4 linked regions of the Caenorhabditis elegans genome follow. The protein of the gene in region 1 purifies or fractionates together with the protein of each later gene. This does not show direct contact. Each region holds a gene or a part of one and is shown in the gene's direction. Other genes may lie near its edges.

Region 1 (4,562 bases):
CGAATTTTACGGAACATACCTGAAAGTGGTCATATGACAAGATTTAAGTCTATATAACTTTTAGAGTTTGTCATTAATTCCTTATAATTTTACATTCAACGTCACAAAATATAATTCCAAGAAAACAAAATTTAGGTGACATTTGTGACGCTTCTCGATTGCGCACACGCATTTTTTTAGAATATAACAAACCTAATCAAACTTTCTCCGTTCTCTTTGAATTGTTTTTCTAGTTAATTAAAATTTTTGTTGTTCCGCCATTCTGTTCTATTTTAACAAAATTATGTTAAATTGAAATTTTTTATTCTTGTGAGCTACATAAAATCGCAATGCCGCAGTTGAGTTCGCGTAACAAACTTGAAATGAGAATGCATTGAAAAATATATATAAAGTGTACCAAATCTAATTATTTACCCAACCCCTTCAAATTTTGAAGAGCGCGACGACGATGGGCTTCTTTTCACCGAAGAAGGTGCTGCGTTGCTGATCAATTCACCACCTGCAATGCGCAGCTCTGGAAGTGTGAATATCGATCCCATCGATTTATTCAAAATTCGTAGCTGGCTTGATAATATGAAGCAAATGGTAGCCACTGACGCACCTCAAGAGACACCTTATGAGTGAGTTGCGAAAATTTGAATGTTAAATGTTGTAGGAGGAAGTTTTCGAGAATAAGATGTTTGTGAAAAAAGTGTTATACTGAAATATGAAGTATTATAATCACAAATTTCGATCATTTCAAGCAACAGTTTTTTTAAAACGAATTTTAGCTATTGATTTTTTTGGATTTTAAACAAAAATATCAGAAATTCAGTAGATTTTATGTTGAAATGTGCAAAAAAACCTACAGGCGGAGTGTAATATTGATTTTTTAATGCGATCACTGTAAATGAATTTTGGAAAGGTAATATTTTTAAAAAACGTTTTTCGATTTAATTTGCAGTACTTTTCTTGTACATCATCTTCAAAATACATTTAGTGAAAGCAAGAGCAAAGGTGAAAATAAGTAAAAATGTTTAACTTGAACATTTTTTTCTCCGCTATTGCATTCTTTAGTCTAAAATTATTTGAAAGTGTTTCTAGACCTTCAACGCGACCAAGTAGCAAGCTCCGAAGATCAGGAAGCGGGAAGAGTGTGCATACAGTAGCCACGTTCCCAGTCAACCTCAACACCGGTAACACGGTGAACAGGCAGGGACTCTCGAATTTGTCGAAACCAGAAATTGTTCAAAATATGAGCAACGCTCCTTCGGAGGCTGGAATTACTGTCGCCGCGCCACGTAGCCCGACAGAACTTGAGGCGAACGGTGAGAATGCTGGCGATGACAGTGTGTCGACAAGTTCTTCATCCAGAAGTCAGAAAAAAAAGAAGCGACGTTTTGGAATATTCAGTAATTGGTTCAACAAAACGAAATAATAACATCGCGTTCTTTTTTTTCATTCTGTATAAAAAACATCACTCTATGTCATTTATGTTCCTTCCAGTTGTCTCAACGTGCTTCAACTAGTCATTTCTTCTCATAACCCTGCAATTTTCTCCCTTTCCCCATCTTTTCCATCTTTTCCATTCCAAATTTTCTCCTTATTGTCCAATAACAAAAACATCAACAACAACTCTATGCGGTATTTTTTTCGTACAGTACTTTTTCTCCCTCTTTACTGCTAGCCACGACGTGTGTTTATGTTGTGATTGCCAAAAAGTGTTTCAAAGTCAATCTCGTCAATTTCTCATGTTAACCTGTTTACACTTGTTTCAATTTTTCTTGTCTGACAGTATTGGAATCCAAATTCAAATACAAGTCATCATCTCTTCATTACATTCATTTTTTAATGTTCTCTATATTTTTTTGTAAAATATATTGATTTTAATTGAAAACTTAATTTTGTTTAGTTCTCTCTTAACAATGTTACAAGGTTTTCAGACTGTATAGGCAACGATGACTGGATTTGTTAAACTACTGACCGAAAAAGCAAAAATAGCTATGAGACATCTAAAAGAGTGCGATTTAGATGCACCATGCTGTAAGTTTTAGTATTCATGAACAAAAGTGGTTTTTCTGCATTCAAAACTATTTTTCAAAAAACGAAATCAATTATAATTCCAAAAAAAAAACAGTAAATGAAACATTCTACCTTTTTCAAAATGTTTTTTTTCATAATTTTTATTGGAAATTTCAATATTTTTGTACAAAGCAAACGTTATTTGTAAACACTTGAATAATGATCGCAATCGTTTGAAATTTATGGGCTTATTCAAGTAATGTAGCAAAATGTATTTAAATACATTTGTGACGTCACAAATGTATTTAAATACATGTTTTTATATACTTGAATACAGTTGTGACGTAATTTTTCTACACTTTTTAATTTTCCGACATTACTTGAATAACCCCATTAGAAGGAATGAAAATACTTGAAAAAATTCTTTCACGAGGTCAGTCCATTTTTTCCAAGTTTCAATAAAAAATGATGTTTTCTCATCCAAAAATAAATAATTTATCTACATTACATTTGAAAGACTGTAAAAAAATTCGAGGAAGTTCAAGAAAATTTGACCGAAAAACGCAAAAAAGCCCACATGGGAGGAATTTTATTTATTCATTTATTTATTCATATTTATCCTTATGATGAGTTTTTTGTTCATTTTCTATGTAACGGTTAGAAAATTGAAACATAAATTTAAATCGGCGGCAACGATATAACGCACTGAATTGGCCATCAATGAAAATTACACATTTTTACTGTTTTGTGTCTTCGCGTCGATCAGGATTCAGCGCGTAGTATCGTTGCCGCCAATTTAAATTTATTTTTCAATTTTTCAACCGTAGACTTAAAAAACAAACCAAAAAATGGGCGGAAATAGCCAACCGTCACGAAGTTCTAAAATAGGCCCCACCCCATGCGGGCTTTTTTCCGTTTATCAGTCAAGTTTTCTCGTACTTCCTCGAATTATTTAACTTCCCCTCATATTCTTTCTAATATGGCCGAAAACTAAAATTTAAGACAAATAACCTTCAATTGATAGGCTTCCTTTAGATACAAAATAAGTGCAATATAAGAACAATATAATTTGTTTTTCAAAAGAGCCGAAATAGTATGTCGCAAAGAGGTTTAACGGAAAACAATGTTTTGTTGGCAGAGTTTTGAGATCAAAAAGTGGAAAAAAACTGATAAAATAAAACAAAAGTTTCCTTGACCTAATAAAAAAGTTAAAAAATTTTTTGAAGTTCAATGAAGTTTAGAACAAAAGTCAATTTTAAGTTTTTATTGAGTCTACCTAAAAATTTTCGACATTTTTAGGTCGGTCCAAATTTTTTAAAGAAAAATCTCTCAATTCGAAACCTAGAGGAATTTGAAACATCAGATATATGAGATTTCTCTGTATGCTAGTATTTGTGATATTAGAAAAATACATTTGAAATACTTTCTTTAATACATAGTTTTTCTGGTTCAGTCTGCAGTCACCATCCAGCCGAGACATACGTCTTTCCTGATCAGTACACTCTCAACAAACTGATGAACGGTGAAGCTCCGCCAGGTCCCATACCACGAAATAAATTGAACGACTGGGTTGGAGTTCCTCCGGTATGCCCGGAAAACGATGATGGTGCTATTATGTGAATTGCAATGCCGTATCGTTATTTCATATTCTTAGTTTTCAGAGAATTTTCGGTTGCAATGGAAACCTGTAGATATGATTACATGACCATCAAGTATTGGCTCGACTACCAGAGGTCACCTAACATTTTGAACTATTGTTTTCTGAACTCTAGTTCATTTTCAGAATTTCCATTGCCGCAATGAAAGTGTACGATAGAATGAAACGAGAAAAATATAATCGACCATGTAACGTAGTAATACGGTTCATTTGCCGGGCTATCAGATTACTCTTTGGAATCGAGAACAAGAAGCGCTTTGATGGAGCTCCATTAATTCGAAAGGAAATCTAAACGATCATTTAAACACATTTCAACACATTACTGTGTTAGTTCTATAATTCAATGCTCCGAACATTGTTTTTTTACAAATAAAATATTTTGTAAATTTTTCAAATTAATTTTTTCAACACATTGAAACATTTCTTGATTAAATTTGTGAGTACAAGTGCTGAAAAATCAGAAACTTTAGCCCTGTGCTAAGAGTGTTAAATTTAATTTTTGTTTAACAGTAAGTGATCCAAAAATTTTCGGTATTGGGAAACTTATGCATTTGCCGGTTTCTAAAAATATCAGATCTTGACGATCTTCTGCAATTCTCAGACTAAGTTATGCCTCAAAAAAATAAAAATATTAGAGCGAGCAACAAGTGTTTTGTATTTTCTCAGTTTTCATCTTTTCTCAAATTTTTTATGTGGTAAAGCAATCCCCGAAACTTCGTTCGAACAACATTCCCTTTTTTTTTATTTTTTTAAGAACTCAGCAGTATGAGACACTCTTATAGTAGTAGTAGTAGTAGTAAAGTACTAACTTCACAATGTCATAAAATCCTCGGCACCTCTTTTTTACCAACCGGTGTAATACAGTGCGTCCAACTTCTATAGCATCCCCCTCTAATTTGGCAGT
Region 2 (4,967 bases), on another chromosome or scaffold:
AAAAGAAGTTTTCTTACGATTATTATGAATTTGAAGTCGCGAAATCGAGGAGAAATAGAAAATCGATTTGGAACAGAAGGAGAATCAAATATATTTAGTTTTTTATTATAACTTCATGAAGATTGTTATATTTTCTTTTTATCACTAACGCGGTATACTGGACCTATTTCATCTGACCCCCACAAATTTTGTGAGATTGAAAACGTAAAGTCATACTCCTGCTCGTGATGGATCCAATTTACTATCAATCCTGTTTGCCAGTCCTAATTAAATATAATTATAGAACATTTTCTTGGGTGGTTTTTGGGGTTCTCCGATAGTACTTATAAGGATACTTTCAGGTTGCTGTAGTGGTACATAACAGCTGGTTTGCTTTAATTGAAAAAAGCATCTGAATATGATTTTTTATTTTAATATAAATATTTTGAAGATAAACGTGAGCTTTTCCAATGTCCAATGAATACGTATTTCACGTAAAGGTCGATCAAACATCGAGATAAAAGTTGATGTGAAGATGAGAAAATTGAAATAAAATCAGTTCTCACTTGAACATTAACATTCGACTAACCATCATCTTGCAAACTTGCACCAAATCAATCGACATGCAATCAATCAACATCTTGTTCGCCATGCTCCTCATCTTGGCTCCAATTGTCAATGGAGACGATACTGCCGTTGCTGTGTGAGTTGTTCTCTATAATTACTCTTTTTTACTTTTCTATTCCAGGACTGCAACTAAAGTCACTGAAGATGCAACTGTGGCTCTCATCGAAACAACAGCCAAAGCCGTTGCAGAAACAGAACCAGCTACAGAACCAGTTCAAACCACCGAAGCTGTTGAAGAAACTACAGAAGCTGTTGTTGTAGAAGCCACTCAAGAGACTAAAGATGCTGAAACCAATGCTCCAGTTGATACTCCAGCTGCCAATAACATCGAAGCTACAACTGAAGGGGCTTCTCGTCCATCGCTTTCATCGACTGTTGCACCAAATGTAACTTCTGTTGATGACTTGCTCGGAGAAACTTCAACCAATGCCACAAAAGCTGCTTACAACACTGGAACCTTCTTTGTTGTCCCAATGGTCGTTCTCGCTTTGATTCAATGATTTGATTGATCTCTGTTGCTAACTTATACTAACTGAATAAAATATTATGTGATAACCAAGTTCTTCAAAAGTCTTTATTACATTAATCTATTGCAGTTAATAAAATAATATGTGATTATCGTAATATGTCTTTGTTTCTGAACTCAATCAAAGCTGTTCGGCTAAATTCTTATTCCATTCAGATTAGATTAAATTTAAGATGTGCTAACCATTAACCTCGCAGGATTTCAATTCAGGACAGGAAAGCAAGAAGCAGGGTGGTAGTCATGAAGTCGTGCCTTCATTTCAGAAATTAGGCATCTCTAAAGTTGATGAAGTTGGTTGAGAATTTGCGGGAAAGAGAAATAGTTCCAAACATGAGAAAATTACATATTACACAATTTTGTCGGTTCATCATCTTCCTCCAAAACCGAATAATCGTCTTTATCTGATTCGAAAAAAAAAACTTTATCAACCACTGGAAAACCTTTATTGTTGTCCCAATAGTGGCTTTCGCTTTGATTCAATGATTTGATCGATTTGTATTGCTCTCATACTAACTCAATAAAATATTATGTGATAACCAAGTTCTTCAAAATTTTTTATTCCATTAATCAAACAAGATTTCATGAAAAATCGCAATCTCTATCTTCCTGTCAACCGCAGTATACCTGTTAATAAATCTAATCATTATTATTATCATCTGATTCCTCATTTCTCTTTTTCTCTGTCTTTTTCATTCGTTCCTCAACCTTCTGCCAGCTTATGATGTACTATGTGTCAGTTGTTCCTCTTTCTTCTCCTTCCCTCATTTCCTCCCTCGAACCTCTTTGATGGGCGTGGCTTGAGCTTCTTTCTGTGTCTGAGACCAACATACTTCTTGCCTCTTTTACTGCCCACCAAAAACTTTCTCCATTTCAGTACAGTCTAGGCCAAATGTGCCGATGGCTTTTCTGGCACTGATATCACTTATCACATCTCCCCTAACTTTCGATCTACAAATCAACGGACCATCGGTTAATCCTGCACCAATTATATTGAGCACACCGTCCAAAAACTTATCATTATCATTTCACAATGGACACATCTACGCGGATTCGATTCCTGTATCAGCTATTTCTGAAAATGAGACTACATCATTCTCATTGAAATGTATTTCACATATTTCTTTACATTTTCAAAGTCCACATGCAAACTCTCTGGTTTATTCTCCAACATTGTGTTCAGCTCCAAATATCGGTAAGTTACCGAAAGAATTAACGAACGAATTACTTCCTGACTGTAAAAACAACCTTGAAATTTTTTGAAACATTATATCTAATTGTGAAATCAGTAGAAAAATCTGACTCATTTCGCTTTTTTTTACAAAATGATTGCTTCAAACTCTCCGATTTGCGTTTGAAAAAAGACTTTTGAATTACTGCTCATGTTTGCTGGTTGCCAGTTTCTCGATGTCGATGATGACAACAAAACGAGTTTCTGCAACTTGAAAAATTCTTCCTAAAATTAGAGATTTCAATCTTCCCTCCCCGATATTAAGTGAAAACCAATCTCATAAATCTGGAAAGACGCTTGCTGCAAGTGGCTAGAATAGTTTTTGTGCTAGAATCATAGCGGCTGCCTCAAAGCACACCAACAAAAAGAGCACTTTAGTCTTCTTTTCGGCTCCTTTTGGAAGCTGGAGCCGGCGCCGGAAATGAGCAAAAGAGTACTCTTTGGAGTATTCTGGAGCATCTCGGTATGTTGTTGTTGCTGTTCTCTATGTTTGTTCCGTAATAAACAATTGATGAAGATGAATGAATGAGAAAAGAAGAAGGAGATGGAGAGAGAGAGAGAGGAAGAAGCTTAAAAAGGAAAGAGAGTCATTGAAAATTCATCAGCAGATCATTCCGATGAACATGACATTTCAAATAGACCTAATAGAAATTTGTTAGCTTTTTTTGAAAATTGCTGAAAAGGACATACAAAGATTGTAAAACTTATTTTTTGAGTATGATTTCAGCATATTTTCAATTATTGCGCAAAATTGTTAAATTGAACTTTTCGAGTATTTGCACAACAGTTCCGTTTTTTTCTTTACCCTGAATTCTTCACAAAAATTGGGAGTTGGGGTTTGCAGCTAATTTTTTTAACTACCGAGTCAAAAAGTATAATAAGAAAACAATTTCTAAGAACTCGCTTCGAAGCCAAATCCCGCCATTTCTTCTTTTCCCGGTCAATAAAACTGTATTTTTTATCTCAAAATGTAGGCAGTAGATACCTCAAGATTCCCGGAAAAGTTTAACCCATTTCTTCAAAAAATCATAGTTGTTGGACTAATTAGCAAGTGTCAACACATGTGTCCTTCCATCATCCCTGTTTATACTTGCACTTGTTCACCACCAACCGACACATTTTGTAAATTATATGTTTTCTCTTCTTCTTCTTCATTTTTATGAGCCATGTGTTAGAAGAGGATGCTTGAGTTGAATAGAAAAATAAAAAATATTAAAATACAAAGTTGAATTCAAACAAATTGTAGGGCTCACAATAAACGAAACAGCGCTCAAAGGATGTATGTTTGATATCACTCAATCCAGCTCAATTTTGACTCAACGGATATGCGGGTGAGTTAAAACATTAAAAAAAGGAATTAGATCTGGATTTACCGTTTGAGCGTTTCTGTGTCAAAAGAAACGTTAACTATGTTCAATCTAGACTTTCATGAAGGTACAGGCATATTGTAGGCATTCAAGGCATGTGTATCCAATGGCGACCTTATCCATACTATCATGTGAAGAAAATTTGAAATTCACTGCAAGTAGGCGTAGGCTGCATTTAAGGGTTTCCTTGTAGAAAATATACAAACTGACACTTCTATTAATTTCTCAGGTTCCAATTTAGTTCAAAAAATCGGTGTACTTTTCACAAGACAAACAAACAGACAAAAATGTACGTGAAGGCAACATGTGTCTACTTTTAGTGACAACTCGACTGAAAATGTGTAGATCGTTTTCAGGCAGTATACATCTGCCTTATAGGTGTATATATCTTGAAGACTTTGACAATCAGACGTAACAAACATGTGTCCCTATCATTGAAACCATGAATAATGGGCGGTCTCGTTTTCACTCAATCATCAATCTGTCGTCCAGTCGGCAACTCTTTTTCCATTCCATTCTTCCAACATCTTGAAGCAATTTCTCTGCGACGAATCAAATCTCGCACTATTTTACCACATTATTATTATCCATATGTCTGCGTGTCCACATCATTTGGCACTGTTTCACTGGTTTAAAGTCAGTGATGACAGTGGAGTATCAAAAATTGAGAATCACGAAATAGTGCTGAATTGAGAGAGATTTAGGCAAAGAATGGGATACGCTGGATAGAGATGGAGACCACCAGAATTTGATACTTTGTGGCCGATAAAATTGGCACATTTGAGAGGGATTTATGGGGTGGCGAGGCAGTGGCAAAGAGTTGTTTGTTAGTAAAAAAGTCAGTGGTCACTGAAAAATAACCTGTGACTATAGGTAATGGGGGATATTGAATAAAAATAACAAATATGATAAAGTGAGGGACTTAAATGTTTTTCAGTTCATAGAAATCCGAAATAACTTTAATAACATCTATTTTAAAGAATGTTTAGGGAATTTTCCTAACTTACCCGTAAAGGCAAAATTTAGCAAGCCCATTTTTGAATGCATATCCTAAAGGTTCTGAAACTCAAACACATGATTTTACACTAATACGTTCAAAAATATATCGTAAAAAATGAGTTCGGGAGATGTCTATCAATATATATTTCGTTGACTGTGTTAAAATATTCAACACATTACCAACATGATATTAAAATTATTTGCAACATTTTCAACATGCGTTAAAAATTCTGCCTTCCAA
Region 3 (7,682 bases), on another chromosome or scaffold:
CAGAAAAAATATTGACCAAAAAACATTTGAAGAATGAAAAGTCATAATAACTGATTCAATTCTTTGTTGAAAAACAACATATTTTTTATCACTGAATCACGACGTATGTTTTTGTTTCAAAACTAATGAAAGCAAAAACGAATTTTGTGTGCTTCCTCGCAAAAATACATTTTCTGTTTTGTTCCTCCATCTGCTTACATGACATAACCAGACAGATGTATGGACATGTATGCCGTTTGCACAATACTATTTCGAAAGGTTCTCACAATGAGAAACTGAAACAATAAGAATAACTACGGTAAAATATGACATTTATCATGATAGTTGTTGCGTAATGAGTTATTTCATGTGAAGTGAAAAATAAAATGGGTTCCTTTGTAATTTGACCGCCGCGTGTTACGCCAGTAAAAGTTTCAAAATAAAAAACGGGGCGAGTTTTCAGGTTGGACAATTCATTCCAAAGCTAAGGAAATGTACACTTTAAAACATAAATTTGATTTCAATTTTGAAAATATTTACTGGGAAACAAACATTCAAGAAAGATAGGCGGCACATTTTCTTGTTCAAATTACAAACTCTTATTTTCTAATAGAAAAGTCACAGTTACTGATGAAAGCAATTATATGAACCCTATGCAATATACAATTTAAAAACAAATTACTATACAAATTAATACTATTGATAAGTCTACTGGATTCAAAGTTTTGCGGTACTTGTGTATTACATCTCCTCATTTTGAAAATCAATTAAATTCACATTCATTTCTCCATTTAAATGAAACGTAATTTGGATTTCTACTTTTTAGGCTTACTATTATATTAGAAATTATTATTTCCTATTTGTAGGTCTGAAAATAATTGAATAATTCCGCATGATTTTCAAAAAATGTAAATCAATAATCAAAATTTCTGTCGCTTTTCTACAATTAAGTTTTTAATAAAAAACGTTGAAACATCAATTAGAAAAACTACAACTTGTTAAATTCACCGAAAAACCGAAAAATTAGTGCCTCGTTTTTTGGCCACAAGAAAAAGTGACAGTAACCAGTTCTCGTGAGTTTGTTTATATTTCTGTTATGGTTTTTGCGGTATAACAAATTCTCAAAGTTTTAAACAAACCATCTGCTTCCGCCAACTTGTGAAGGGCTTTGATGATGTGCCGATGCATCTCGGTAACTTTTACGGGCCTGTGACAGATGGAGATGGATAAATTTTTTAACAAAGAAGTTTTATAAAAGAGCAAAAAGATCAGAACCACTTCTAATTATTATTTTCAATATTCAAAATGACACAAATGTACGAAATAACAATGTCTCTTTCGTGCACTTTTCAGTAATCATAACTTTATCAGCCTTCGCGTCAATATCACATGATTATGCAGCTAGACAACATAAGCATGGATTCAAAGAATAATTTCAACTAATCACCCAAAAGTAATTGCATGGGCTCAAGTATAATTTCAAACAAATATCTGCAGGCCCCCAAACATTACTATTTCTGAAACAAGCATTTTTGTGAAAAAAATGTCCGAAGTTAATCACAAATTCACATCATCCTAAACAACTCTTCGTAAAGACAACGGGGGAGGATATCTATAAACATCCAAAAAACCATATGAATACATAGATAATGAGAAGAGAATGCTCATACATTTTATAGTGCGTTAGACCTCTTCTGGCTTGTGGTGTCTTCCACTTTCGATATTTTAGCTTACTGTTGCCAAAATGTTTCTACCACCTCCTCACAAGCTTTTCCCTTTTTTTCTTGTATTTTTAAACCTTGTAGACACAAAAGATGAACCAGTTTTTGTCAAGAGTATGTTTAGAAAAATGTAAAAGTTTAAAACTTTTAAAACTTTTAAAGACAACGAAGACATCTGCCTTGAGGATGTAGATCCCGGACCATGCCAATACTATCAAGTACAATGGTTTTGGGACAAGCAGGTAGAAGAGTGCAAAGAGTTTCATTATGGAGGATGTATGGGCACTAAAAATCGATTTTCATCAAAACAACAATGTGTGAAACAGTGCAAGTACAAAATGTTCAATCCAGTTGCAGTACCAGGTAAACCTTGCGGATGTCGAGTAAAAAATCAAACCATGAATAAATTGATAAGCTATGCAATTATATTTGGATTGATTGCGTTCATGAGATGAAGTTTGTATTTTTCTCCAGATATTTTTACATCACGCATTATTGCCTGCCAACAACCATAAATTAAATTCTTTGAAACAATTTTTGTTTCTAACAATAAAAAAGAGTTCAATAAAATGCACACGTATTTATTGAAATACCATTAAGTATTTTAGTCGTAAGAAAAGAGAAATTGAATCAATTGGCTTGCTGAGATGGTCCAAATCCAGCTTCTCTCTTTCCATAATATCCATATCCTCCGTATCCATAGGCTCCACCATAGTATCCATTGTATGCTCCGAGACCATACCCTCCATAATATGATGGGTAATATGAAGAGTATCCATAGTATTGGGCACTTGTTTCTTGAACAATTGAGCATATGGCAAGAGCCAAAACACAGAGAAGGCTGAAAATATTTGTTTTAAGTTGGATTTTATTTGTTTTAACTTACAATTTAGCGTTCATGATGAGAGTTGTAAGAAGAATGAGTAGATTCTTGGTTTGAAGAGAGGAAACTCTATCTTTTATACTATTGCCGTTCTATTTGCCAAACTTTTTCGCAATGAGTGAATGCCGCTAAAAATGTCAAAAAGTGCAAACTGGTATGTATGCTCGATCATAAATCAAGAAAATATACTAAAATAAACGAATCATATTTTAGATCTTTGTTTATTGGATGCTGATCAAGGTCATTGTGGTGATGAACGGAATGGTCATTGGTGGTACTTTTTTAATCAGGAATCAGGAGAATGCGAAAAATTCTTCTATTATGGATGTGGAGGAAATGATAACAAGTTTTACAGTCTACATATGTGCCGAAAAGTTTGTGGAGAAAGACTTTCGCCACAAATAGGCGAGTTAATTTTATTTTTTGATGGAAGTACTGATTGATCATGTTTTAAAGATTATTTGAAAATCTCAGATTTTAAATGTAATTTCAATTTGGAGGATTTTCTTTCATTTGATTAGAAAAAAAGTTTTTTTAACGGAACTCATTTTCAGCATGTGATCATTGCGACTTGCGAACTTCTTTTTGCAAATCGAACTCAAAGTTCAATTATACTTGTGAATGTCGGAGTGGATATGAAAAAAATCAATATGGAGAATGCATTGGTGAAGCATAAACTTAAATATTTTAAATCTCGTATTGTTTCAGATATTGATGAATGCCGTGGCTACAAAGCAGTCTGTGATCGGAATGCTTGGTGTGTAAATGAAATAGGTTCCTATAAATGTGAATGTATGGCTTCTTATCGAGGAGATGGAAAACATTGTACATATGTTGGTTTAGGTGAGAAAATATCTTTCAGGAGTAGTTTTATTATTGATATTTGAAGGAAGATCATCAATTGATTGCAAGGATTGTTCGATGCATGCCACGTGTATGAACGGAGTGTGTCAATGCAAAGAAGGATATGAAGGAGATGGATTTAATTGCACAGGTATACATTTCGAAGCGATATTAAATTAAAAATTATCAAAGTCAACTTTATATTTCAGATGTGAATGAATGTCTTCGGCGTCCAGAAATGTGTAATAAAAATGCAGAATGTATCAATAGAGAAGGAAGTTTTATATGTACTTGTCTAGAAGGATACGCAGGAAATGGATATAACTGTACAGTTTCTAAAAGTCAGCGTCTTGATAGTTGAAGTAATTTATTATTTTCAAAATTAAAGATTCTTGTCTGGATAAATTTGATCACGACTATAAGGACACATGCGGTAATGAAAATTGGAGGCCGCATTTCTTCTTCAATCATCAAACCAGAATGTAAGCGGTTTTCGCAGTGTTTCTCAAAAATTTAAAATTTGATGACTAAACAATTTTTTAAAACAACTAGCCAATTGATAGAAACAGTTGACAAATTGTCCACATATTATAAGAATGTTTGAGGTACCTTTCCAACAAATTACCTGTATGTAAGGTTTAATAGCAGTTCGTAAATTGACACGAGTTACAGTAATTTCTGTTGCCCGCGTGGCGAGACCTATACACAAAAGATATTGTAAAAATTATCTTCTTTAGACGTATTTGTAATATCAGTCTTTTCATAATATCTTCGAGAAAAATACTTTTTTTAAAATAAAATTTTCACAATAATGAAAAAGGGTACAAGAAACATTTAATGTTTGTAATTCTAAATTTTAAACATGTTTCATCAGCAACATATCAGCAAGACAAATTAAAAGTGTTACATTTTCCAGGTGTGAACAATTTTGGTATGACGGTTGTCGTGGACGTTCGCGGAATATTTTCTCTGAATATGATACGTGTACAACAATGTGCGAAGAGACAAATGTGCTAACACGAGCCGGTAACTTTCAGTCTATTACAGATCGTTCAGCCGTTGTCTTCTCAGATTTTCAAATATTTTCTCCGAATCGTAAAGTTTCCCATCTCACACTCTCCTTTTTCCGTTTTCTCATCCGCTTCTCAACAGCTTCTGAGAGCTTTTTTAACTGAAAAATAAAGTGGCAACCGAGATTAGCGTCACTTTTCTGCTCCGACGCGTTCGAAACTGCTTGGAGCTCTGTCTTCCGGATAGAAAAGAAGCTTCTATAATTGTTCACTACCCTTTCCATACATTTCATGTGAATGTGTTTAGTAAAGAAAGAGCCACCCACCACATAACCTGCTCAGATGTAGTTGACGTCTATAGAAGATCATTTCCGTTGTTGGTCATTGTTAAAGAAATAAATTGTGGTCAAGTCGTTCCGCTTGAAAAGAGTTGCAGTGCTTTTGATGTCTAAGTTTGTTTTCTTCTAATCTTTAGTTCTCTAATAACACTTGCATTCTAAAATAATAACCTTTTGTTCTATGAGCATATTGTTTTTTGTTTTTGGACATTCAGTTTCAAATCGGTTTTTAACTTCAAGTTTAATTATTTATAACTATAAAAGTAAATTTTAACAAAGGGTGGCTTTGTATTTTCTATGAACACTGATTGTAAAAAAATTGAAATTAGTTTTCATATTCAGTACACTTTAATAAAATATAGGTACTAATGTATGTTTTCTTTATCCTATGATTCTTTTAATTCCGAACGTTTTTTAATTTATCGTATTTTTTCACAATTATTTGGAAATAGAACATTGTTGACAAAACTTGAAACCCTTAACCAAATCTGGGTACTATTTTGGGAGAATGCCTAAAATAACCAGTTTCCGGCTCAAAGATTACCATTTACTACTTTTTTGAGAAAATTCAATTTCCATAATGATGGTAGATACATACCACTCTCTCACACACTCACAAACCACTCAACAGATATAATTCGATTTTTGATTTCATGTCAAGATAGTGGAGCGGGTCGCGAGAAAATATGGATAGACGAGAGGAAAGAAAGCTTATAAACGGCCGGGAGCACTCCTTCTTTCTCAACGGGGTCTCCTTATTCTTCTTCTCAAAAGTCGAGAAACGAGTTTTTGGTCCCTCCGGAGGATTCATAGAAAGGAAGTCCGAAGAGAAGACGAAAGACGTCGTCAGAGGCAAAAGAGTGGGAAAGAAGGCCTATATTTCGTGTCAACTCTCGGTTTCCCTCTCTAGATTTTTTTCTTTCTCTATGAGAAGATTTCTTCCGACGAACCACCAAACACATACACAAAACATTCTCCGACTTTCCTTTTTTATGAAAATAAAACGAGAGGCGGCGGCATTTTTGATCAATTTTTGATGTCGTCTGTCACAACTCAAATGTCAAATAGACGTTCTTCCAGTTTTGTTTATTTTTGATTTTTAATATATTTCTGTGTGGTCTGCCTTAATTCATGCAGCTTGAGGTGGTCATATCTCTTTCCCCATGTTGATTTTCTGTCTAAACTGTATAGAAGTGTTTTTGAAACTGAAATTTTGGTTAGGAAAATTTACGAAAAAAAAATTCCAATGACATCAAATAAATTATAGATTAGACATTGCGAAGACTGAAAATTGTATACAATTTCCTTCTTGCCGTTCCATTATATTGAAATGCCTACCTTACGGAACTTAGCAATCATGATTTATTGGTACTCTCTGAGAAACGATTTCAACCTTATTCTCATTTTTCTCATTTTTCTTCGTGTTCTTTTCCAATGGTATTCACTTATTTCTCCAGAAGAGCTCTCCTTGCTGGTGGTGCTTTGGTCCCGTATCATCATTCGCAAGATGCGATGATTCCACGTGGACTCATCACTTTATCACATTATCATGAAAAACTTAAATTTTCACAAAACCGACAAAGACAGCGGCTTGACGACAGAAGATGTTCATTAGACTTCAGGATATCACTCATTATATTATCACAACTTATTCCACTTATTAGTTGTCGTTCAGAAGTTTGCTGGGACAAATTTGATATGAACTACCGGAATCAATGCATGAATGGTGAGTTTTGACATTTAAAAAAGTCAGATGTGTATAATTTTTTATATCTGATTATTTAAAAACCAAACAATTGAAGTGATTTTTTTTTTGAAAAAAATTAGATAAATTTTGTTTCATTCTTAAAAAATTATAAAAAGTTAGCTCATGCACCTTGAAATTGAAAAAAAAAACAATTTTCTAGGCCAGTGGCAACAACGTTACTACTTCGACCATGCTTCATTGACATGCCGTCAATTTTGGTTCGATGGATGCCGTTCGGATTCCAGAAACATCTTCGATGACGAACTGACGTGCCAGTGGCTTTGTGAATCTCAACCAATGTATAAATCCAGTGAGTTGTCATTTATCAATTGACAAACAAAATTTCTGACTATCAAAACATTTTTGTTTTCTTATTCTGTTTTTCTTATGTTTTCCACCCTCACTTCTCAAACTTTCGAATTCAAAACAACCAAATTGTTCGCTTTTTTTTTTTTTGTAAAAAGATGCAAGAACACAAAAAACAACAAAAAACACGAACATTCACAATATTCCCGCCAGTTGAATGATGAACTGTCACTTCCTTTTCTCAGAAACATTTCCTTTTTTGTTTCCTCTGCGGATGTCTAAGACACAATAAGACAACAAAACACAATTATTTTTAGGATCATGTTTGGAAGATTTTGATGAAGGTTTGAAGAAGGAGTGCAATGGAGGAAGATGGCGTCATCAATGGTATTTTGATAAAGGCTCAAAGGTAAATTTGAAGGAGTGATATTTTGATATGGAATGATAATCTAATCTTATCTCAAATTTATAATTTCCGTTTTTCAGAAATGTTTCTCGTTCTGGTATGACGGCTGCAAAGGTGCAAATGAGAACATATTTCAAGATGAATTGTCGTGTCTGCATACTTGCGAAAATCCTGCAAAGAAAGATCGTATGTTCATTTATAAACGTTTCAAAGTTTTGGAATTAAGAACTGAAATTCAAAAAAGTTTTCTAGAATTGGTTATTCTTATTTCCTCAAAATGAATTGTTCATTTTTAGAAACACAATTTTTGTTATTTTTACAGCTAAAAAACCTTGGCACAACAACGACAAGTTTAAAATGAAAGAGATAATCGGCGATATTTACAGTAAGTTTTATAAATGCAGAGTACAGAATGGATGTAACCAAAAAAGTCTTGATCACCTGATATT
Region 4 (5,027 bases), on another chromosome or scaffold:
GATTTGAGTTTATTTAAAAAAGAAAACATAAAATTTTGGTCCAGCTCTAGCGGACGAAAAACTTACGTAGTGCATCGAATTGCTTTCCACAACAAAATCTTGTTCGGATTGAAATATCCAAGTTGCTCAAACTCTTTTGAGTCGATACGCGGTGCATATGACCGGAAGAGAACCAATTGAGGTGGAGCCAATGTGACTTTTGCAGTTGTAACAACAAGACTGAAATTAAGATTTACAACTATTTTCAATCCCTTAGCTGTACCGATGGGCAGTGCACTTGGACATTAAAGTCTTTGAACCCATCACTTCTTGAAGACAAGTTTCGATTCCAAGTGCTGAATGTTTAGGGAACTTTTGATTATTTCCACCGAAGATACGTTTTCGAATTATGATGTAGAGACGGAGTGCGTCCGCTAGATCAATACCTGGAAACATTTGAATTTAAATATTGAATCATAGCAATTAAAAACTAACCAACACCAATTGAACTTGCCATGATACCTCCACAGCTTGTTCCGGCAATCCAATGAATTCGATTTCGTAGTGGTTCTCCAAGTTCTCTTTCAACAGCCAAAAGAATTGCACATTGCAAAACAACTCTTAAACCGCCACCATCAAGACTCAAAATAACTTTCTGATTTTGATTCTGCTCCTCATTTTCATTGATTTTCTTTTCAATTAGGAGTTTGTTGTAAGCCATGTGATGACTGTCCACGGAACTTCTACTAGTTGAAATGCTTTGGAGATCTCGTTTTATGCTGAAAACATAATCATTTAATGTAAAATCGAGATTTTGAATCTTGATTAATTTTAATGAACACCGTAAAAGTTTAATTTACTTTGCATCATCAGTCATCTCAATTGGTGTTTTTCCATCATTATTTTTCGAGTTCCAAAGATCCAATCCAGCGGCATAGACACAAACAGCTCGGCAAAGAAGACGTCGATCTGTCAAAACATCATTTAAGTTTTCTTAAACATTAAAACTTTAAAATTACTGAGTTTTGCAGCCAAATGAAGCGGAGTATTTCCATTTTTATCCTTTATATCAAATGGTTCATTGCGGACAAATGCTCTGAAAATATTAACAATTCAAAAACGCATCTGAAAATCTGAAAAACTAACGCCACCAATCCATCAATATTGTCATAAGTGATTGCATGGAAAATGTCAATATGACGCTGAAATTGTATTTGCGAAATTAACCGAAAATTGGAATACCTTGTATATTTCTTGAGCATTAATTCTTTTTAAAACATCGCTAAACATTGTTCCGCCCGTTTTTTGAAAATTTTGAAATAAATTGCGACAACGGGATCAGAAAACCAAACTTTTTTTATTTTAAACTTTTTTAAAGGTCGCGTAAAATAAAACATAGTTTCAAAAATAAAATTGTAAAAGTTCACAATTTATTATAGTCTCTTGTTTTATTTATAATCGGTTTGTTGTGCAGTTTTTTGTGTGTCATCTTCAAAAAATCTGGTGCCCTCGGTGACTGGTGTAACACTTTGTTTTATGTCCAGAAATTATAATAAAAAAAATGACGCCACACAAATTAATATTTTGCAATAACGTTGGAAACTTCGAAAAATTCTCGACTGTTGCCAAGCAGCATAAAACGTTTGCGGTTTTTCTAAATTTTAAATGATTGTCATAATTTTAAAAAAATGTAGAGCGAGATTTTGAAAAATTTCGCAATGTTTCAAAGCGATGTCCTCTATATATTTCGACCTTTTCATAGTTTTCTTATGTTCATTTTTAGAGGACACGAAACATTGTTCCAACTATTCTAAAATATTTCTGTTATTTAATTCTTTTAATTTTTAGCAATTGAATTTTTAAATATAGTTTAACAACAACTGAAATGGATCATGAAAACTTAATGAAGTATTTGGAAGAATTCAGAAGCATCAGATTTCAACCAGATTTCCAAAAAGTTGATGCTGAAAGGAATGTTAGATACTGTGAAATTACGGATTTTCCTATTTCTAACATATGTGAGTTATTCCAAATTTATTTCGAAAAATATGAGTACAATAACTTCAGCGTTTGAGCTACTGGAAACAGGGGTGTCTCAACAATGGAGAAATTGTGATCAAAATTTGTTCAATGAATATTTGAAAACTTACAAAAATGGAGGATATTCGCAGTTCGAGGTAAGTTTTTAAAATCTTTGTACTAGTATGTTTTATTCTAAACATATTATTCTTTACATTAAATAAATAAAATTCGTGTAAAATATCTAATTTCCAGGATCTTCTTTTCAAAATATGGGGATATTCTGAAGAAAAAGAAAGATTTGATTTACCAGCACTAAAGTCGTTTTACCGCAAAATGTCAGAAATTGTTGGAGAGGATGAAGTTCTTGAAAAATTAGCAAGATTAGTTCGAATTACCAAATCAGCTTGTGAAGTTCTTCCAGAGGTAAGTGAAACTGTGGGAAATTCTTTTTACCATGTTCTTACATATTTTTGTTTTTAGAAAATTTATCGGCTTGTCGGAGATATTGAATCAGCAACTTTCAGTCATATTCAATGTGCATCACTAATTGCTTGGATGTTTTTCAGTGACACACCTCGATTGAGTTTCATTATGTAAATCTAAACTAGTGTAGAGCTGTACATTTAAATCCTTGTTTTAGAATTCTTCAAAAAACGACTTGTGTCGCAGTGGAAAAACTGAAATTTTTGTTCACATACTTTGATAAAATGTCAATAGATCCTCCAATTGGTGCTGTCAGTTTTCGTAAAATGAGAATAACACATAAACAATATTTGGAAAATTGGAAATTAAGAGAAACTAATTTGTTGCCAGATGTTCAAGTATTTGATAAAATGTCCATTGAGGAGACCGCACTCTGCACACAAATCGATTTTGCAAATAAACGTCTCGGAGGCGGAGTTTTGAAAGGAGGAGCTGTTCAGGTACAGGTTATCTTTTCTCAATTTTTAGCGATTCAATTTGACGTTTTGTGGTATTCATGTTTTGAGTTGTTATTAAAAATTCGAATCATCTGAAATTAATAAAAAGCATTATTGTTTTTTAGGAAGAAATTCGTTTTATGATGTGCCCTGAAATGATGGTTGCTATATTATTGAATGATGTAACTCAAGATTTGGAAGCTATTTCAATTGTTGGAGCCTATGTTTTCAGTTCCTATACTGGATATTGTAAGTTCTAAATGTTAATTTATTTTCTAAAAAATATATTGTTTCAGCTAACACTCTCAAATGGGCCAAGATAACACCAAAGCACTCTGCTCAAAATAACAATTCATTTCGGGATCAATTTGGACGTCTTCAAACTGAAACAGTTGCAATTGATGCTGTTCGAAATGCGGGGACGCCGTTGGAATGCCTTTTAAATCAATTAACAACTGAAAAATTAACACGAGAAGTTCGAAAAGCTGCAATTGGATTTTTGAGTGCCGGTGACGGATTTTCAAAAATTCCAGTTGTATCGGGATGGTGGGGATGTGGAGCATTTCGAGGAAATAAACCATTAAAATGTACGTTTTTTTTTTTTCGTTTTATTCAGAATTCCTTTTCAGCTACAGCAAGTTTTCCAATGGACGGCAAAATGAACATAGCGTACCATTTTGCAGAATAAAATACTATTAATAATTTTTCAGTCCTAATTCAAGTAATTGCTTGTGGAATTTCTGATCGACCACTACAATTTTGCACATTCGGAGACACTGAACTGGCAAAAAAGTGCGAAGAAATGATGACGTTATTCAGAAATAACAATGTCAGAACAGGTAAGAAAAAGTTCAATAATTTTAAATGAAACTATAATCAAATGATACAAATTTTTCAAATTAATTGTAAGAGCCGGACATCAAATTAAAAGATTTTTATATTAGATTCAGTCAACTCTTTAATAACTCAATTGCTTAAATTATTATCAGTTCGAACTCAAATAACTTTTCTGGTTTTTTTCCTATTGAGCACTCTTACGAAATTGTAGATGTTTCCGTAGTTTTTCCGTAGAGTCTAGTGAAAGTCCAAGATATGCATAGGTTGCTTTGAAGGCAGACAGGCATACATTTCTGTGCCTACATAGATAAGGTCTTTTTTTTTCAAACGTCCTTGTTATCATAGAGATATTTGGATATAATATACTCCGCATATTTAAAAAGTTTTAATTTCAGGCCAACTATTTTTAATTATTAATTCCATCGGGCCACCACTCAACTATTCTGAACAGTATGTTTTTGATGCAATCAGAGCAAAAATCAATTCCACCAAAGCATGAAGCTATGTACTTTGTCAGAAATGCTATATTTTCCCCAAAGTTTTATATACAGTGTTTTTTCCAAATATTTTTTCGTATTTTTATCTGAACTTTTACTTTCAAATTTTTAATTAATATTCTAAAAATTGTTTATTCAATTTATTTTTTAACTGATCATGACCATTTCAAAAATTAAACATTAATATTTTCATAAGATACCAATAAAAGTTTTCATTCATCCTAAATTCTTGTAAATTTATGACAAAATCCAATTAAGATTTCAATTTATTTTTACATTTCCCGGAAGTTTCAAAGTCTGAAGCTGACTAACTAAACCACTATAGTCGAAGGAATAATTGCATATTTTTTATGATTTTATTTATTTCTCTCATACGTTTATCAGTAACCAAATTTTTCTCGAAAAGTCGTAGACATATATAAATTAGGTTTTTTTGCAATGAAATATTATAATCAATCAAAAGTTTGAATTGCCTAGCCTCTGAATGTGTGCATTTTTGTTTCAAAAATCACCTTTTTTCAAAAAGAGTGTACTAAAAAGTTATTATTTTAGTGCCGATGGGGAAACTCTCCAAAATTGCAAAGAATTGTTTTTTTTTGATTGAACGACATTCAAACAATTTTCGGCTGCACTATAGAAAGTTACTTTAAAGTTTTTCCTTGTTTTCAATGGATTATTCATCAAAATCATAAATCTCGCAGAAAAGTGTTATTTTTCAACGATTTTCAGATTAAAACACATTATTTGTCACAAGCTTAATCTTTCTTTTTTC

Evidence for each region.
Region 2: the proteins of C17H11.5 (region 1) and C48E7.6 fractionate together in Caenorhabditis elegans (co-fractionation; one large-scale study listed by BioGRID). This does not show direct contact.
Region 3: the proteins of C17H11.5 (region 1) and mec-9 fractionate together in Caenorhabditis elegans (co-fractionation; one large-scale study listed by BioGRID). This does not show direct contact.
Region 4: the proteins of C17H11.5 (region 1) and parg-2 fractionate together in Caenorhabditis elegans (co-fractionation; one large-scale study listed by BioGRID). This does not show direct contact.

What each region holds. Positions count from the first base shown.
Region 1 is NC_003284.9:8,182,492-8,187,053, reverse strand, and holds C17H11.5 (Phage protein), read left to right. Parts: upstream 1-1,920; 5' UTR 1,921-1,937; coding exon 1,938-2,022; intron 2,023-3,454; coding exon 3,455-3,617; intron 3,618-3,662; coding exon 3,663-3,734; intron 3,735-3,784; coding exon 3,785-3,950; 3' UTR 3,951-4,046; downstream 4,047-4,562. Other genes in the region: C17H11.6 (RBR-type E3 ubiquitin transferase), read left to right, coding at 437-620, 1,084-1,417.
Region 2 is NC_003279.8:6,234,183-6,239,149, forward strand, and holds the start of C48E7.6 (Chondroitin sulfate proteoglycan 4), read left to right. Parts: upstream 1-1,951; 5' UTR 1,952-2,029; coding exon 2,030-2,324; intron 2,325-3,606; coding exon 3,607-3,691; intron 3,692-4,391; exon of another isoform or gene 4,392-4,528; intron 4,529-4,967. Other genes in the region: col-56 (Col_cuticle_N domain-containing protein), read left to right, coding at 1-98; C48E7.7 (MS Related Protein), read left to right, coding at 603-682, 728-1,106.
Region 3 is NC_003283.11:9,909,114-9,916,795, reverse strand, and holds the start of mec-9 (Kunitz/Bovine pancreatic trypsin inhibitor domain protein), read left to right. Parts: upstream 1-1,674; 5' UTR 1,675-1,723; coding exon 1,724-1,814; intron 1,815-1,862; coding exon 1,863-2,063; intron 2,064-2,266; exon of another isoform or gene 2,267-2,330; coding exon of another isoform or gene 2,331-2,541; intron 2,542-2,586; coding exon of another isoform or gene 2,587-2,600; exon of another isoform or gene 2,601-2,614; intron 2,615-2,796; coding exon 2,797-2,988; intron 2,989-3,137; coding exon 3,138-3,248; intron 3,249-3,291; coding exon 3,292-3,426; intron 3,427-3,472; coding exon 3,473-3,577; intron 3,578-3,635; coding exon 3,636-3,767; intron 3,768-3,814; coding exon 3,815-3,908; intron 3,909-4,342; coding exon 4,343-4,452; intron 4,453-5,464; exon of another isoform or gene 5,465-5,677; intron 5,678-6,229; exon of another isoform or gene 6,230-6,286; coding exon of another isoform or gene 6,287-6,449; coding exon 6,450-6,500; intron 6,501-6,681; coding exon 6,682-6,831; intron 6,832-7,144; coding exon 7,145-7,236; intron 7,237-7,313; coding exon 7,314-7,419; intron 7,420-7,555; coding exon 7,556-7,618; intron 7,619-7,682. Other genes in the region: fipr-10 (FIP (Fungus-Induced Protein) Related), read right to left, coding at 2,331-2,541, 2,587-2,600.
Region 4 is NC_003282.8:8,711,865-8,716,891, reverse strand, and holds parg-2 (Poly(ADP-ribose) glycohydrolase 2), read left to right. Parts: upstream 1-1,759; 5' UTR 1,760-1,864; coding exon 1,865-1,997; intron 1,998-2,046; coding exon 2,047-2,156; intron 2,157-2,253; coding exon 2,254-2,424; intron 2,425-2,481; coding exon 2,482-2,594; intron 2,595-2,641; coding exon 2,642-2,924; intron 2,925-3,046; coding exon 3,047-3,170; intron 3,171-3,217; coding exon 3,218-3,508; intron 3,509-3,631; coding exon 3,632-3,760; intron 3,761-4,153; coding exon 4,154-4,257; 3' UTR 4,258-4,484; downstream 4,485-5,027. Other genes in the region: ipla-5 (PNPLA domain-containing protein), read right to left, coding at 67-219, 263-425, 475-758, 840-948, 999-1,075, 1,126-1,181, 1,222-1,269. UniProt on the Caenorhabditis elegans protein: Poly(ADP-ribose) synthesized after DNA damage is only present transiently and is rapidly degraded by poly(ADP-ribose) glycohydrolase. Poly(ADP-ribose) metabolism may be required for maintenance of the normal function of neuronal cells.